3 linked regions of the Canis lupus familiaris genome follow. The protein of the gene in region 1 purifies or fractionates together with the protein of each later gene. This does not show direct contact. Links are inferred from orthologs where the notes say so. Each region holds a gene or a part of one and is shown on either strand. Other genes may lie near its edges.

The links. Proteins that work in one complex are often made in the same cells at the same time.
Region 2: the proteins of BLNK (region 1) and BTK purify together in Homo sapiens (affinity purification with western blotting; 5 studies listed by BioGRID and IntAct, with this or other methods). This does not show direct contact. The link is inferred for Canis lupus familiaris from reciprocal best matches to the Homo sapiens genes BLNK and BTK.
Region 3: the proteins of BLNK (region 1) and SYK purify together in Homo sapiens (affinity purification with western blotting; 3 studies listed by BioGRID and IntAct, with this or other methods). This does not show direct contact. The link is inferred for Canis lupus familiaris from reciprocal best matches to the Homo sapiens genes BLNK and SYK.

Annotation. Positions count from the first base shown.
Region 1 is NC_049249.1:9,879,568-9,885,664, reverse strand, and holds the start of BLNK (B-cell linker protein), read left to right. Parts: upstream 1-2,302; 5' UTR 2,303-2,563; coding exon 2,564-2,610; intron 2,611-6,097. UniProt on the Homo sapiens protein: Functions as a central linker protein, downstream of the B-cell receptor (BCR), bridging the SYK kinase to a multitude of signaling pathways and regulating biological outcomes of B-cell function and development.
Region 2 is NC_049260.1:75,700,091-75,706,315, reverse strand, and holds the start of BTK (tyrosine-protein kinase BTK), read left to right. Parts: upstream 1-2,634; 5' UTR 2,635-3,098; coding exon 3,099-3,152; intron 3,153-5,492; coding exon 5,493-5,663; intron 5,664-6,188; coding exon 6,189-6,225. UniProt on the Homo sapiens protein: Non-receptor tyrosine kinase indispensable for B lymphocyte development, differentiation and signaling. Binding of antigen to the B-cell antigen receptor (BCR) triggers signaling that ultimately leads to B-cell activation.
Region 3 is NC_049222.1:96,695,120-96,701,463, reverse strand, and holds the start of SYK (tyrosine-protein kinase SYK), read left to right. Parts: upstream 1-2,753; 5' UTR 2,754-2,875; intron 2,876-2,911; exon of another isoform or gene 2,912-3,075; intron 3,076-3,228; exon of another isoform or gene 3,229-3,436; intron 3,437-6,344. UniProt on the Homo sapiens protein: Non-receptor tyrosine kinase which mediates signal transduction downstream of a variety of transmembrane receptors including classical immunoreceptors like the B-cell receptor (BCR).

The sequences.
Region 1 (6,097 bases):
AACATATCTTCTTTTATTTATTTTTTGTTAAATATTTAATACCTACAGTAGGTATCTGTATACTTGCAACTCAACTTGAGAAGTAGGACATCACCATTGTCTTTGAAGCCCTGTGTTCCCCTTCACTCCAACCCCCTTCCTTGATGACCATTCACCTGAATTTTACATCTATTTACATCTATCATTCCCTCCATCTGTTTGACCACATAAGTGTGTGTGTCATAAATTATATATTAGTTAGTTTTACATGTCTTTAGCCTTAATAGAACAAGAATCATGATACATGATCTTCTTTAACTTCCCTTTATTGCAATAAATTATTTTTATTATTTATCCATACTAATGTGACTATACTTCACTCATTGTCACTGTTGAATAGGACTCCATTGCATTCATATGCCACAATTAATGTATTCATTCTCTGGTTGATGAGCAATTGGATTTTTTCCAGTGTTTTTAAATTTTCTATTAGAAATGGTTCTTCCATAACAATTCTTGCACATGGCCTTGGTGTACACAGTATATTCGTACTGCTTTCTCATGTCTATGACCCAAATTACTTTGGTAATAACAAAGTGTTTCCAGAGTGATTGTACCTACTTGAATTTTTGTCAACAGTGCATAGAGTTCCAAATTTTCTCTAAGGTTGGGATTGTCCATTTGTCATCTGTTCATCTAGAGATTAATTTTCATGTGCACTGTGCCATGTAAATTGTGACTGTTTATTACAGTACGTTGTTCTCCATGTGTTGTGGAAACCATGCCGTGTGGCCTCATTCTTTTTACGAGTCATTAGCTAAGACTTGGTACCCTTGATCTCCAGGCTTGCATTGATCTTCTTGGAAAGCTGGTTACAGCTGCAGAGCAGTTGTGGCAGCTTGGAACATTATGGTAGTCATGCTACACACCACATGGGGCAAAATGTCCAGTCTGGAAAAGCAGACTCTCATTTTTATTATGTCAGACTAATACAGTAAGAAAGAAGAAAGACAAGTGGCTGTAAAAAGAAAAAGCAGAAGTGTAACTCTTGCCGCTGCTTTTTTTTTTCTCTGGGGAAATAAGAAGTTGCCAGTCCAGGTGCTAAACAGATTTGTTAGTTGAGAGAAAAGTCAAGTGGCTGATGGGGTGCACTTTACAGTAATTTAGAAGAAACAGGCTGGCTATCATCATCCCACTCAGTGAAGCTTGATTTTCTTGATCCTTGGTGACATTGTAATAGCTTTCCCTGTTCCCATCTACTAGTTTTGTTTTGTTTTTGTTTTTGTTTTTCAGTTAAGAACTATGGAGAGAGGATAGGTGAGGCTCTAGGACTCCTTCGGGATACACTGCAAGGAAACTGAGCTTCTTGTTTGGGGAAAATAAACAATTGGAAGAGGCAAGTGCTTGAATTTTTCTCATGAAAGATTGTCTGCTCCCTTGCTGGCCTGGCCAATTTAGTGGCTTGGCCAAGCAGAAGGGCCCCACCCTTTAATAGCTTTGAGGATTCTGCTCCTGAACACCTGGTCGAACTAGAAATTCAGAGGCAGAACATGAATGTGAACAATCAAGATTTACCTAGAGAAATATAGAACCTCTGTTTGTACAAAGAATAGATACAGAAGGGAAGAAATCCATCTACCACTTGTACTCTGCCAGAGAGGCTGCCTCTCCCTCCCCTCTTCCTTCTCCTCCTCCCTCCCGTTCTCCTCCCCACTCCTCCTACCCCACCTCATTCAGGTCTCTCCTTTTGGCTCTTCCTCCCATCTCCCCTTCTATCTTCAGCCAGACCTGGGGTCTGTAACAGGAGAGGTAACTTGGAGCCTCTGCTATGTCCTTCTTATATATTCTTCAGACCCAGGAGAGGATTAGTCACTGAATAAATGTGCTAAATATGCACCTTCTTCACAAAGGTGAGCAGGAATTTCTTGCTGGGTGCAGGGAAGTGTGCCCAGACATAAAAGGAACTGTCCCTCTCATTTTCCTCCTCCCTGACTTAAACTGCCTTCTGCTCTCTAAATGACAGTACAGAAATGCCGTTTTCATATCATGGTTCTTTAAGTGGAAAAATTTATCCATGAATTTATGCAAATGAACAGAAAGTCCCAAAGAGACCTGATGGAATTGATTATTCTGCTTTTCCTTGAGCCCAGGAAGCAACTGGGGACAGAATGACACCTGCTAAAAACAGGGCTATGTGTGTTTGGGACAACAGGAAGTAGTGACCATCTAGAAGCCAGTCCTGACCTGATTACAAATCTGGTTATAAAAGAAAGCAGCTGGAAAGAAATTTGCATGTCCAATAGGTTTCACTATTAAAGTTTACACGACGTGGAGTAATCAGCCAAGCCGGCTGGCTACCCAGATCACATGATTATGTAGAAACATGAAACTTGACTATGTGCTCGAGCAAGTTTTACTTCTCCCTACTGTAGGGTGTTTGCCAGCAGCCTGCACTCTCGGAAATCAGACTCAAGTGACTGGGACCCTTGAGATCAAAGGCTTACCATGCTTCTCCCTAAGAGGGCCAGGGCCTGCTGACATTACTGCTGACGGTTATTCGTGGTTCTTATAATTAACAAAAAGAATGGACAAGCTTAATAAAATAACTGTCCCTGCCAGTCAGAAGTTGAGGTAAGATTTTCCTTATCTAATACTTCTCCTTCCTCTGCTTCTTCTGCTTCTTCTTTTTTTTAATGCTCCTACTGCATCTGAGAAATATTGAAATCCTGGAATACTTTGCTAGTTGTAAGGCAGTGGGTGGCAGTTGCTATAGGGAAGTAGACTGAGTTTTTAAAGAGATATGTAGGAACAAGTGGGCTTATTCCTGCTGGTTTTAGCTATTGAAAGATTAAGGTAGAAAATTCTGGAGAATTCTGGCTTAGATTCTACTAAAGTTCAGCTTTCTGAGTCTGAATACAACAAACTAGTCTAAGGAAGGGTTTGTCTAACCCTTGTTTAACCTTTGCTAAACGCTTAACTATTTCATTGTGGATTACTATTTAATATTTAATGTTAAGGATCATTGTAATCATTTGTATTCATTGTAGTTGTACTATCTCTTATTTATTTTGTGGGTGTATATCACAAGTGCTTGGGGACAGGAGATCTGTTTTTCCAGTGTTCTTATGTCAGTATAACAATTATCTATAAAAAAGCCACTTGGAAAAAAAAAAAAAAAAACAGAAGTGGTGCAAGGAGCAAGAATCAAAAAACTCCTCTGAGTTATGGAAAAGACAATGTCTCAAATTCTCATTTGGAAGATCTTTTTGTCTCATTGTAACAGCATCATGTTTTTAGAGACTGAAACTTTTAAATACACAATGAGTGTTCTATATTCCAACTACCATTTGAACTTCAGTTTTTAGAGGGTGATATGACACGTGAAGCAAGTAAGTTTCCACAAATAATAAGGAGCTAGAGAATTAGAGCTTTTGAGACAAAATTTATGAGAAATTAGCCTGGAATTGGTAGAGGGATGGCCCTTTACAGTGAGAGTATGCATCTTACATTTGGCCGGTGCTTGGTAAATAGTGGTTTGAAATGAACTGCTGATCTGGGACCAGTAGGCTCCATTAATGTGCTCAGACATTTCAAGGGTGTGTTGGTGAGGGCTGCGGTATGACCTGCACTGACAGGGGACAAGAAGGTGCCTCAGCCTTTGCCTTGGTTTCAAGTTGCTACACTCTCATGGGAGGGGGGCAGGTGAATCAATGAAAGTAGTAAGTGACTGAATGAGTATAGAAAAGGAATTGGAAAAAAAAAATTAAAAAAAAAGAAAAGGAATTGGGATAGCCAGGAAAGGTTTCATGGAGAAGATGCTTCAAGAGCTAGGTTTGAGAGGTGGCTTAAGGCAAAAGTAGTGTGAGAATTGGAGGAAAAGCAATGAGCCAGGAGGAAGGAAATAGAGAAGCTGACACTTGAGGCTGGCCTTGACTCAGTGCATTGGTGGGATGACGAGGAGAGTGTTCTGTCCAACAGAGACTATGGAATAGGGTATATGGTACCAGAGGGTAGTCATAAGGGAGAATGTGTCGGGTGTGGCCAGCTCACAGAGGACAGTGAGGCTCTAACTGTGGGGGATTAGAGAATGGTTTACAGGGTTAGAGATGCCATGCCAGCAGGCTTACTAATGGGTGACAGAATGGACTACAGGGGTAGGAAGCTGGGGGCAGGGATATTCTGTAATGACGGTAGTTGAGGAATGACGGCTTCTAGTGTTAGGGGCCTGGACATGGGGCACAGCAGTGAGAAGGGAAAGGAAAGGAGAGGTAAGAAAGACATGCCAAAGAAACTAACAAGGCATGGATATTAGTGCTTCTCTCAAATGAGCAAGAGGGTTTTAAAAAGTCCTTTCTAAACATTCCATAACCTAGAGCTATACCAAGCCTTAGAACCCCTTTTAGGAAATCCAGATCAGAATTTAAGTAAAGGAAAGCACTAGAACCTGAATCACTGTATGATCTCCACCTGCCACCCCCCATCCCTTGGGACAAAGACCAGCTTAATCACAGAGTGGTTGACAGGCAATATGCAACCATAGATTATAGGGTAGAAAACCAAAACTCTACTGTGGATAATCATACACTACATTCATCTGCTTAGGCAGAAGTAACTTTTTCTCCACTTGGTCACTCAGTTGTCTTTACAGAATTGGTCTGTTTTGGTAAAATGTGCACTGCTGACGTGGAACTTTAAAAAAAAATGAAAAAAAATGAAATTGTAAACACGATGGACTTGAAGCACCATCTTAAATATTTTCTAGTTAGATGGGATGGCAAGGAGTAGGGAAATGAAGTAATTGATCCCTATGGTCTGTGTCCTCTGTCCTGACTCGTTAATACCAAATCAGACGGTTGTCTAACTGCAATTATTTGGTACCAGGTGACAGTATAAGTGAAGAGCTGTGTTTATATTCTTAGGTTTATCAAAATTTAGATGAGAATTTGCTTAAATTTTTAGCCACAAAAGTAGAGAGATAATTAGTGTCCATCAAGGGCACATAGTGATCCTGGCCCATAATAATTATCAGATTAAAAATGATATTAATATCATTATTATTCTTTCTTATTAATTCCATAGGTGTGTAATTGAAATCCTGAATAGAAACATAGGACTTTACATTGATCCTTGATAAAGTTTATGTTCATTTCAGTTCTTCTTTTTATCTATTTTGGTTATTCGGTTATTTTGGTTATTTTACCTGTTGGTTGTAACTCCTATGGCATTTAGCTTTGCAAGGACTGGAGGCACAACAAACAACCCTCCTCTGCCTTAACCTAAGTGGCTAATAAAACTGTTGAGCACACAGAGCCCTTCTTGGGTGTCTGGGTCTCACTGCTAGGACTCTTACTTAGAGATCTAATTTCACAGGTTTTGGGACATGGCTTCTCTTCTCGAGTCTTGGAATCCTTAATTGGAATTTCCAGTTACTTGATTTTTCAAGTTCGATTCTTCAGAAACAAATCCACTGGGGTGTCTGGCTGGCTCACTTGATAAAGCATGCGACTCTTGAACTCAGGGTCATGAGTTTGAGCCCCATGTTGGGCTGTAGAAATTTAAAAAAAGAAAGAAAGAAAGAAAGAAAGAAAGAAAGAAAGAAAGAAAGAAAGAAAGAAAGAAAGAAAGAAAGAAAGAAATTCACCTTCTTTTCACCTTCCTGCCACTAGCTCCATCTCTGATACTCTGTTTCTGTCAATAGTATTGTCATCAACCCTAACTCTGATTCATCCCTCTCTGCACTGCCATTTACTACCACACCCTGTAGTCTTTATTTTGTGATACTTCCATATATTCTACATATGGCTTTTCTGTCACATCACCCTGGATAGATCCTCATCTCCCCTGTGTCCCCCATCTATAAAATGAAGAGTTTGGAAACAGACAATTTCCAAAGTCTCTCTCAGCTCTAATGCTATGTGATCCCTTAAGCATGGAGACCATTCTCTGACCCCACTCTTGGGCAGCTTTCAAAGATTTTATCCCAAAGCCCTCAGGAAATATTTCCTGATTGAATCATCTGTCTTTGACAGATGCCTATCCGTAAACAGTAGGGTCAGAGAATACAACCAGACAGCATCCAAGGAGGTCATCTAGAAGGTTGCTATGATGTATTTAGAAG
Region 2 (6,225 bases), on another chromosome or scaffold:
GATAACAGAGACCACATAGGCCCACAAATAAGCCAGACCTGAGTTTGTCACTGAGTAACTGAGCATTCATTCTGAGAGTGGAAAACTATGACCATGCGCACAAGGATGTGCATGGCGGCATTGTTTATAACTGAAAACAAGCAATCTAAACATCTAGCAATAGGAGAATGGATAAATCAAATGTGATGTATTCATCATATAGAATATTTTATGCTGGGATGTCTGGGTGGCTCAGCGGTTGAGGGCCTGCCTTTGGCTCAGGGCGTGATCCCCAAGACCTGGGTTCAAGTCCCACATTGGGCTTCCAGCATGGAGCCTGCTTCTCCCTCTGCCTGTGTCTCTGCCTCTCTCTCTCTCTCTCTCTCTCTCATAAATAAATAAAATCTTTTTTAAAAATAATACTTTGTGCATATAAAATAAATTAAAATATATGAACTAGAGCTTTAACCAAGATAAAACATTATACTGAGAGGGGTACCTGGGTGGCTCAGTCAGGTGAGCATTCAAACTTGTGATTGTGGCTCAGGTCATGATCTCATGGGTGGTGAGATCAAGCCCCATGTGGGGCTCCACGCTCAGCAGGGAGTTGGCTTGGGATTCTCTCTCCCTCTCCTTCTGCCCCTCCGCCCACAGTGCTTGAGTACTCTTTCTCTCTCTCTAAAATAAATAAATAAATCTCTTTTTTATAAGTGTTTTGAAAGATTTTATTAAATAAATAAATCTTTACAAAATTTATACTGAGAAGAAAAGCAAGTTGCTGAAGAATATGTACCCTGTAAAACATGCAAACCAATACTAAATACCTTTCATGGATACTTACATATGCAGTAACAATATAAAAACATGCCTAGGAATGATTAACACGAAATTCAAGATATAGTTAACTTCTGAGGAAGGAGGGGATTGATTGCAGAGGAGTATACAAGGAAGTTTTGACTCTATGGTTAGTATTTTATTTCTGAAAAATGCCGGAAGCAATTATGGCACTATGTTAGAATTTTATAGAGCTAAGTGGTGAGTACCTGAGTGTAGTGTTAGTCTCTGTACTATTTGCCACACTTCATAATATAAAACAAAGTACATTTGATCAAAAATTTACATTCACACTATGCAATAACAACCCTAGGGACAGAGTTGGCAGGTGTTCCACATAAATCTCATATTTTTATCGAATCAACAATGAAAAAAAGTCCTGAAAAGAAAACAGCAAGTAACACCAGTTAGGATCTCTTTCCGAAAGACTGAAAGGAAAATGTAAGAAAATCTGGTAGGGATAAGAAGAGTCCACATATGGGAAAAAGTACAGTTGACAGTTAACAGGGATAAATCACCCTTTTTCGCTTGGAGGATTATTGCAGAGGAAAATGCTCCAGGATCCTGTACTCTCTCTTATCCCCTGAATTTACCATCATTTCCTCTTTTGTCAAATGTTCCTAGAAGATGCAGAGGATTCTGTCTCTACTGCTCTTTGATGGTAGCCATGGGGGATGACAGGTGGTGAGATGGATAGCATCAAAACTTATTGAAAGCAAAAAAAAAAAAAAATCTCTCTAGGAGGCAATGAGGTAGGTATCACAGAAACAGCAAGGGCTGTGGAGTTATGGATGAGGTTGGGCAGATCACACAACTTCCATGAATCTCACTTTCCTCACCTCTTTGTTGTAAGAAATAAATGAAATACTGAGTATAAAATGCTTGATGGGTAGACTGCACTGAGAAAAACAAGAATTTCCTTCCATTCCCCTCAGAAGAAAAGGGAATAGACAGACTTTTTTGGTACTTAAGTAATGCTTTAAATGAGAAATAGAGAATGATGTTTCTTGGATATTCTGGCTAAGTAGCTATTTGAACTATGACTGACTGGTTATTTCTAAATAGCATTTCCTGGACTCTTCCCAATCATAGGCAGGCTGTGTAGTCTTCTGAATTTTGCTCTGGTGTTTATCTTACCTTGAGCAGTGATAGGACCAAAGGTGATTTAGTTTACCAATCCTACAGGTGTTTTTCGTATCAATTCCTTGGCATAGCGCAGTTTTTAAGATGGCTGAACTCTTATTAACAAGCATCCTCTTTATGAATTCTGCTGCTCCATAGGAAGCTGGGAGGCTGCAAAAGGTGGCCACATGAAAATTCTTGCATTTGTAGTTTAAAAAGAGAACATTATAATGCTGGAATTCTGTATCTTTAAAAAGATTTTATTCATTTATTCATGAGAGACACACAGAGAGGCAGAGACATAGGCAGAAGGAGAAGCAGGCTCCCTATGGGGACCCTGATGTGGGACTTGATCCCAGGACCCTGGGATCACGACCTGAGCCAAAGGCAGATGCTCAACCACTGAGCCACCCACGTGCCCCTGGAATTCTGTATTTTAAATGAAGAACCTGTGTCTTTCTATTATTTTTCCTCCTCTTTCTTTATGTGAACATCAGTGTGTGAATGTGTGTGTGTGTTAACATTCATGTCACTTCCGGTTTCCACCCCCACCCCCACCCTCTGAGTGAAGTGGGGGGTCAGCCACATGGTGCATCTTTTGTGGTCAAATTAACTGTCAGCTGCTGAAATAGTTAGAAGAAAATTTAGAAGCTACCATAAAGAAGTTGCAACTGCCCTCTAATGCAGTGTCCATCACACACCAACCTTCAGGAAAAATGCACCTCCTTTCACATTATTGGTGGATGAATCAGTGATGACTAAGGAAGAACGACCACATTTTCAGGCTGTGTGTGTCTGGACTGGTTCACAAGGAATAAGGGGAAAGCAGTCAAAGAAGGGGCAACCAGACCTTGGAAATCCTGGGAATTCTTCAACTCCATGATCTAGTGGTAGAGGCCATTTCACCCTTTTGCTGAGAGGGGTGATGGCTAGTGAGAGGCTTACTTACTTCCTCATACTTAGACCAGCACTAAACCATAACCCAACAGACACTTGAAAGAGAGGAAGGCTTCCTCTTGTACAAACTGGATTTGTTCTAAAAGAGAAAAAGAAAGAAAAAAAAAAGAAAAAAGAAAATAAAAATAAAAGAGAAAAAGAGCAGAGGCAGTTTCCAGAAGGACCTATCTTATAGGAAGTAAGAGCAGAGGCCAAGACTGAAGCGGATGCTGGGTCAGAGCAGGGAATGCATCCATCAAGAGCTTGCAACAAAACTAAAGGTAAAATCATGGGTATGCTTTACTCAGCTAAAAGAAGCAAAACTGGATGTAGTTTGTTAGGATGCTTCTGATCCAATTTACTGGACATGCTACTTATTTTCATTAAGGCTTTATTTTATCTTGTGCAAGTTGAGTCTTTCTGATTGTGAAGAGCTATTTAATTGGAATTCACAGTGAAAAAAATGTGATCTCATTACAAGTATCTTGATGAGTTGACTGTTCTTGAGAATATAATATTACTTGGTTACCACTATTTCTGAATAAATGAATAATTTTAATGTTGACAGAAATCTCTGTGGGGTTTGAGCATTAGAAAGTACTCTGGTTGTAAAGTCTTATCAGTTTGTCACTCCTGTAGAGACCATTTAAACCAGGTAGTCAGGGAACCTGTGTGACCAGGTGTGGGGAAAAAGTTTGCTCCTTGTCTAATTTTTCTCAAAAGATCATTTATAAACCATTGAATTAATCCACCACCAGAAGACAGTAGCATCGACATGGTGAATAAGTGGCAAAGTGATTATTTTGAACATCCCTGGTGTTCCTTTAACCTATTTTTAATGTCTCCCCAGTATGATAATAGAACCTTCTACACCACAGGAAAGAGCAAAATAACGGTGCGGATAGCCTCAGACTTTGATAAAAACTGCTCCCTTGTTTCCTTGGTGTGAGCAATAATCTGTGTTTGGCAGGTAGAAAAAAAATGCTGACATTATTTATTCTGCATAGACAGATAAAGGATAAGGAGTTTAGTTATAAAAAATGTCATCCCTCCTTAAGAAAAAAACCCCACGCAGCCGGGGTGGCTCAGCTGTTTAGCGCCGCCTTCAGCCCAGGGCGCGATCCTGGAGACGGGATCAGGATCGAATCCCACATCCGGCTCCCTGCATGGAGCCTGCTTCTCCCCCTGCCTGTGTCTCTGCCTCTCTCTCTCTCTCTCTCTCTTTCTCTCTGTCTTTCATGAATAAATGAGTAAAATCTTTAAAAAAGAAAAGAACCCCACTTATAACAAAATTTGAGGGAAGCTGGTGATCTGTTTCAGTACTTATTTTGTACTGATTAAGTGCCCCATTTTGTGATAGTATTTATATTTTCACTTAATCTTTCTAAGGAAGGTTTGGAATTATGCATAGACTTTAAATGAATATGCAATTGTGTGTAAACAGTAAGTGAATAACTAATATGAAGCATGTTTTGTATGAATGAAAAAAACCAATGGTGATTTCTTTTGTAACTTTCTTTGCATTTTTGCACTTCAGCTACCTAAACTGAATCTTTCCTAGAGTATTCTAAGTTTGGAGAGAGTAAACAAATTACTTTTCGTAAATAACCAGAGATGGCACCCATAAGAGTAGACAGTTGCATCACTTTGGTAAGACAGTGTCTAAAAGAACCAATCTAAGAAAAGGAGGGGGAGGGCAGCCCGGGTGGCTCAGCGGTTTAGCGCCGCCTTCAGCCCAGGGTGTGATCCTAGAGACCGGGGATCGAGTCCCAGGTCGGGCTCCCTGCATGGAGCCTGCTTCTCTCTCTCCCTCTGCCTGTGTCTCTTGTTCTCTCTGTGTGTCTCTCATGAATAAATAAATAAAGTCTTTAAAAATATAAAAAGGAGGGGGAAACACAAACCAAAACACGCACACACAAAAAAACTAAAACACACACACACACACACAAACCAAAGACAAAACAAAAGGAACTCCCTCCCCCAAAATTATTTTTCAATTTTAGAACAAAGCTTCTACCCTTTGTAGCTGAGCTAGTGGTTGATGGGCAAAATCAGTTGGGCAGCAGTTAGTATATGTCCATACCTGCAGGTGCAGCCTCCATATCCTTATTATATGCCTTGTTTACAGACCCCAGTGGGACAATGTTTGAAAAAATTGCATTCACTGTCTAGGAAACTGGGAACTGAAAGTCCAATATCTGCCTCAGTGAAGTTTTGGCACCTGCATTATCCCTTCTGGGGATATCAGTGTCAACAGCTGCACAGAGACTGTTGCTGTTCACAGATTCTGCACGTATCACAAAAGGGTGGTTAGTATAAAGTGGCCTCTAGACATTACTAAGCACACAGGTACATGTCATTTGACATTCAGAGCATTCCATTGCCTTATACAAAAACCCAGTGTATGTGAGCTCATGCCGAATCTGTCCTTCCAATTCACCATTACACCTGAAAACTGACAGAGACGGAAGCTATGGAAGGAGGATGTCAAGGCAGGAAGAAGGCTCTTTATTAGCTTTGCATGATTCTGTTCCATTTGAAACTAGGTGGTCAGGTTGAGAGGGAACCAGGAGGGATAAGGAATAATGTGCTGGGTCCTCAAGAACTTTCATTATCAACAGCACACAAGTGAGCTCCAGAAAGAAGAAGCTATGGCTGCAGTGATACTGGAGAGCATCTTTCTGAAGCGATCTCAACAGAAAAAGAAAACATCACCTTTAAACTTCAAGAAGCGCCTCTTTCTCTTAACTATGCACAAACTTTCCTACTATGAGTATGACTTTGAACGTGGGGTAAGTTTTTCTGCTGTGAAACCTGAATATCAAGGACTTAGCCTTAGATCTTCCTTGAGGACTAGATATTTTTGGTTGGAGGAGGGAGGTGGTAGGGATCGAGGTATATTTCAAACTCAGAAAAATGTTTCTTAGCCTAGAACTAACTACAGCCATGTTGGCACAAAAAATTCAAAGGTGCTAAGAAGCCATGGGGGCAATCTTACCATGGAATCTTGCAACTGATCATTCATTAAGTGCTGTTGAGAATGAAATCCACGTCTTGAAAATTATTCTTCATTTTTTATGGTAAAGGCACACACAGTCATCCACTCTTCTATAGTATTTGCCCTCTGATAGTCAAAAAAGTTTAGATTAATAGATCTGGAAGTTTTGTTGTATTTTTTTTTTCAAAATGACAGGTTCTGATGAATAGAACGTGGGTGTCACCTCACTATGTTGAATGATTAGATAACAAAATCTAATCATCTGGTTGCTTAATCATTCCTAATCTTTCTCCATTTTGTTCCTCATTCTCTTTCTCAGAGAAGAGGCAGTAAGAAGGGTTCAATAGATGTTGAGA
Region 3 (6,344 bases), on another chromosome or scaffold:
ACTTTTCAAAGTTTCAGGAAAAGGGAGAGCGTGTTCCTCCAAAGTGTTGCAGTGAACTCCCAAGGAAGAGGAAGACACGGAACACAAGAAACACAGACTCCAAGATACAAGGAAAATGAGACGAAGCACAGAGAGGGAATGGAAGAGATGAATCCTTGAAAGACTGCAACCATGCAACCACAAGTTGACCAAAATTGTGCCCAAATTTCCAGCCCAAATTCCTATCACCTAGGTGATCCAAAGAAACCATAAGCTGAGAATTTACTTTTAATTGTCCAAACATTAGTTTTACCCTAGGCTTCTGACCAAAGCAAAGGCAAATTGTCTCCGAAAGAAAACGTCTCTTCCTAGACCTCAATGAAGGTCCATGAATGGTTTTTCCGAAGTGGCGAGAGGCTCACAGTGAGTGCAGCCAAGTTTACAAGGAAGTTTGACACCATGAGCCAGAACCAGTAGAAATAAACAAGGCCAACAGACAGGAGGTTTCAGATGTCAATGAACACAGCAACCCCAGGAAATAGAGTTACTGTTCTTTTTTTTTTTTTTTTAAGATTTTCTTTATTTATTCATGAGAGACACAGGGAGAGAGGCAGAGACACAGGCAGGGGGATAAGCAGGCTCCCTGTGGGGAGCCCGATGTGGGACTTGATCCTGGGACTCCAAGATCACACCGTGGGCCGAAGGCAGACGCTTCACCACTGAGGCACCCAGGCACCCCTAGAGTTACTATTCTTAAAGAAAAAAAAAAAAAGAATCTGCAAGGAACAGGAGACTTTAAAAAGTAGCAGTGTGGGGAGTCCCAGAGACCATCAGAGTACAGGGTTTCATGGGGGGGGGGGGGCTCCAGGACTCAGACAATAATGACAGCTAAGATTTACTGAGTGAAGGGTGAACAGCAAAGCCATTGGAGGGAGAAGACCATTGGGAGAAGGAAGAAACGCTGGCAGAAATGTATTGACTTTTTTTTTTTTTAATTTTTATTTTGAAGTTGTCTTTTTGAAAGTTTTTTTTTTCTAGGTATTTGTGTAATGACTTTAACATTATGTTTTTTTTTCCAAAATCATCATAAGCATGCTCAGTCACTTAAATGCCCCAAAGGTGAGAGGGACCACACAGCAGTGCAGGAAGGCATTGTGTAGGGACTGATCTAGAACCTCATCGCCATTGGCTGCCCCTAGGGAAACACGTCATCTTCATCATCTTCATTAACACCAGGTTTGCTCTTCTCATGCAGATTCAAAACAAATCCCATTTGTCCATTTCCAATGATATTACCCACTCTGGAAACCTCCTGTGTACATGTTTTGCAGCTTCTGTTTAGAGAATGCTGGCTATTTCATTGGCTGTTTGAAGCAAAATTTAAGTCCAATGCTTATCAAATAGAGCCATAATAAAAATCCCTCACTTGACTTAAAAATGAATAGAAGAGAATGTCCAGGTGGGAAAGACTGAGGGGCCGCGATGAGTGTCCATACTCCCTATCACCTCGTATTTCTCCATGGCAATTATAATCTAACACGCTATATATTTCACTTTGAATTTTGGGGCTCAGGGCACAGCCTTTTAAAACACTTACTGCTACCTGTTACCAAGAATCTGAGGATCTGGGCACTGTTTTATGGGAAAATTTTAAAGAGGGCTCCCTGATAGAAAAACGAGGAGAGGGGATAGGGCATTTTAGAAATATTTTTTAGAACTACAATAAATTTAAAAAAAAACTACAGTAAATATATTTTTTAAAGATGTTATTTATTTATTCATGAGAGAGGCAGAGACACAGGCAAAGAGAGGGAGAAGCAGGCTCCCCGGGGGACATGATCCCAGGAATACGGGATCAGGACCTGAGCCAAAGGCAGACATTCCACACTGAGCCACCCAGGTGCCCCAATACTACGGTAAATATTAAACTTAATTTATTTAGGTCCAGGCATAAGAACCGGTTGTGGGCTGAAGGGAGCAAGTTGAGCTCACTGTCAAGAACCTTGAAATCACCAGAGCCCTCAGAAAACACGGCGTGGGACAAGCCGGGCCCTTCCAGCAGAGCGCAGTGAAGTCCGATGTGCACCTAGAGCCTAACTCTAAAGGCAGGGTGCAGAGGGCCTTGGGGTCACAGGTCAGCAGGAGCGGCTTGGGTTGGTGACCAGGAGGGAGTCCGCCCCCCAGTGAGCAAGAGTCTCTTCCCACGCCAGGGCCCTGCGCGATGGGCGCGCCCTTTTAGCGCTGCCAGTGGTTCAAAGGACCAGGTGGCAGGTTGGCAAGGCGGCCAGAGGTTCCTGTTGCTGTCAGGGCCCCTTGTGTGTGGATGAAGACCCCTGGGGTGGGCCTTCTGGGCCTGGGAGGCAGGGCGCAGGGGGCTAGGGGCGCTCGGAGCCTGTCCTGGGCGCACGGGCAGCAGGCACGGCGTGGGGTCCCTGCAGGCACTCCGGGTGGGCCCGGGGCGCTGGGAGCACAGGGGCACGGGGGCGCACCGCAGGCTGGCGGGCGGGTGGGTGGGCCCCGGGCGCGGGGGCGCTGGGGGCACTCGGGCGGGCGCGGGGTCACTGGGGCGCACCGGCGGGCGGGGTAGGCGGGTCCGGGGCGCGGGGGCGCTGGGGGCACTGGGGCGGGCGCGGGGTCGCTGGGGCGCACGGGCGGGCGGGGAGAGGCGGGGGGGGGCGGGCCCCCGGCGCTGGGGCGCGGCGGCCGGGAGGAAGTGCGGGGCCTGCCCGGCGCGTTAAGGAAGTTGCCCAAAATGAGGAAGCGCCTCGCGCTGGCCGGCTGAGAAGACTCCAGCGGCGGGAGGAGCGAGGAGCAGCGGGCGGTCCCGTGCTGCGCCCCGAGCCGTCCGCGCCCGCGCCCCGCGCCCCGCGCCCCGCCCTCGGCTCACCTGGCACAGGTAGGTGTGGCGCGCGCCCTGGGCCGGGCAGCCGGGACGCGGAGCCCCGGGCAGCCGGGAGCAGGGGAAGGCGGGCGGGGCGACGCGCCTGTCGCCCCCCTGCCCGCCCCGAGTCCGGGTCTGTGCGGGGCCCTCGGCGGGGCAGGTGCGCTCAGGGCCTCGGGAGGGACAGGCTGATCGAGTCTCTGGAATCAGGACGGGTAGGTCCTCCACCGAGCACTCCCGGGGTCGGTGGGGTCGGGCCTGCCGGGCACGCGGGGCGGGGCGCCAGTGGGGCGGGCGGGGGGGGGGTGCGGAAGCCGCAGGTGCCGGCGGCGGGCGCGGATCCGGGGCGCAGGAGGCTCACCTTGTCCTTTGGCCATTTTATCGCTGCCCTGGGAAATTCCACCTTGTTGATGTGGGTGACTCCAGGTGCCAGTGCTCCTGGGCCTGCGGAGGGTTCAGCGCTTGCACGCCTTTTCCTACAGAAAGAGCAGTTGTGTAGAAACAAGAAACTTCCCGGGCCACCCCTAAAATGGAGCAGGATCGCTCGTTGAGACACGTTTTCACGGTACAGTGACAGTAAGTGCCGCCGAGAGCCCAGTGTGGTGCGATGCCGATGCCGGGTCAGTTGGAGTTGGGCAGCATAGCTCCCAAAGCATCAGCCCGCCTACCTAGCTGTACAGAGGCGATTCAGCTTTGGGTTTATTCGAATGTTCCAGAACTAGGAAGACCTAGTCTGGAGAAGTCACGGTTTGAGGCTTTTGATGTTGGAGACAGTGTTGCAGGTTATTTTCATCCGTTTGACTGAATGACCAAAGATTCCGTTGATCCCTAGCAACCCTTGAGCAGCAGGTGTTCTTTCCTTAAGCCCTGGAAGCGCTGTCAGTGGGTAGTTTAAAGGTTGGAGATGCCCCACATCGGAATTTTCTAGTTAAAAAAGAGTTCATCTTGTGATGACTTGGAATTCTTGGAAGGAATGGAAATGATTCTAGCATCTGAAGCCTTTTTTTTTTTTTTTTTTCAGTAAGAAGAAATTCATTGCCACTAGGAAGGCAGCATTTTAATTTCACGGAACTAAATTCATTGATCTGCTCTCTCCCCCCCCCCCCGCCCCCCCAAAAAAAAGTCCCTATTGTGCATGAATATATTTATCCTTGAGCTAACACCTTTAGAAAGGTGTAGAGTACTAGGGGTTTTAAACGAGAAATCTTCTCCATTAAAATTTTTTATCAAGTCATTTTGTTCCATCTCCATTATACTTTTGTTTTGTTACGTTTAGAGGAGATTTTGTAGTAAAATAGAAATGGATTTCTAGTCTCTGTATGTGGAGCGCTTTCATAGGTAGGATTTTATAAATAGGCTTAGTAACTAGAATGTTTTTAATGTTTTAAGCTAGGATAAAAAAATGAGGCGTATACTTTAGGTCTTAACCTCTGCTAAGGGAAGAACTTGACAAATAATCTTATTGTTAGATCTGTATTTAAGAAATAACTCACTTTCACCTTCTTTAGGCTCATATTTAATTTAATATCCTAAGCGCAAGTCTGACCTCTCAGTTTTATTTATTTTCCTTTTTAAAAAAATTTCTCTGCTTTTAAACCAAAGACTCCCTAGTACAGTATCTACTTTATGCAGCACATAGCACGTCCACAATTATTTTCCAAAACCCATGTGCTAAGATATGTTTTGGAATCCTGGATTTTTCACAATTTAGAGTTCAAATTGGGAAGCTAAATTTCAGCATTGAGAAAAACATTTCTCAGAATTTAGAGAGGTACGTGTCCACACTGTCGCCGTGTATTAGAGACTCTGGTACATGCTGGGCGGCCTCCCATACTCCCACCCGTTCATATGTCTGCACGGACACTGTGACTTGTCGCATTTAGTGGAATAAACACACTATAAATAGCTGTGTGTCCGTTTAGGGCAGATGTCACTGAGTGAGTTCCCTAAAACTTACCTCAAAACCTTATTTCTCAGGGGTTTTACGCATCAGGACGTTTGGAACCATATGAGACTCCTAGGGCCTTTTGTTTACTTTTGGAAATAAATCGCATTTCTCCTGTCCAGTAACTATACCTTCTGTGATTAAATGGGCAAATTGCCCCTTTTCAGGGAGCAAGACCTCATTGAAATTTCAATGATAACCATCACAATACAGATCCAAGTGAGAATAAATGATGTTATTTTTTAAGATTTTATTTATTTATTCACCAGAGACAGAGAGAGGGGCATGTGGGACTCCATCCCAGGACCCCAGGGTCATGCCCTGGGCCAAAGGCAGACGCTCCACCCCTGAGCCACCAGGGGCCCCAAGATGGATGATTTTAGAGCAAGAATGCAGGGAGGTTACTGCCATCCTTTGTGCCCACAGTATGTTTTTGGAAGAAGTAGTATTTCCTGTTCCCCCCACGGCAGGCTCGCCGTCTCTGTGTTATCTGTTCCTGAGGAATGGAAGAGCACTTTTTTACAATCCGAGCTAATTCTTCCTTTATCCTCACCCTGCCCCCTTGCTCCCCATTTGCAAAGTTTTAACATCTTCCATTGCTGGATCATTTTGGGTGCAAATGAGTAGAGAAAAAATTAGCCCTTGGGAGAGGACTTTTTTTAATGTTCATGCACTGAACTTTTTTTTTTTTTTTTTCTTTTAAAGCAACTGAAATCAAAAGGCAAAGTCCTTAGAAGAGCCTGGAATTAAATTGTCTGAATTAACTGTGTCTCATCTCTTGCTCTTCCACCTTGCGTTTCAATAAGTTGGTTCTTTTTCACTTGGAAAAAAAACAGGTTTTTGTTTTGCTTTTGACTAGGCAAAGATGAGTACACAAGGAGACAGAGCGGATTTGAAAGGAGAAGTTCATTCATTCATTCTGGTGTTCCATTAGCAGGCACGTTTCCTATGAGCTTATAGTTTCATCTGACAAAAAAACAAATTAGCTTGCATTCTTTGAAACCTGTTTGTCTTTATAAATGAATTATGTTAAGTTTTGCCCTTTGGATCTTGAAAAGTTGAATTAGCATCGTAAGTGCAGTCACATCTAGTTGAGGCCAACAAGACCAGTCCAGGGAAGAGTATTAGGGCTAACGAATCAGAAGTGGCTCGCTCTGCATCTGTCCATTTCTGGAAACCACCAGAAATGTTTTTTGGAGGCTGCCAGAGGCTGATGGTAGGAGGAGGAAGTGAGTATTGAGGGAGTATCAGTTAACACCCTGATTACTCAGGAGAGGGGGCCCTGACAGCTTTTATGATGGCTGGTATCTGGTGAGTAGTATCCCCTGTCCCGGGGTGCCTCCCTCTGACACAGGGGGTGCTTGGACCCTGGAGCTGAGGGGCCCTGGAAGGGTCACCACCTCCCAAGGCTGTGCTGGAGCACTGTAGGGGGCCCAGGGCCAGAGGGTTCTGGGCTTCTCCCCGATTGGCCCACGGTATGGGAGGCGTTGATCCCAGTGCAGGCTGAGCTGGCAGGAGGGTCACAAGGCCAGCGGCAGG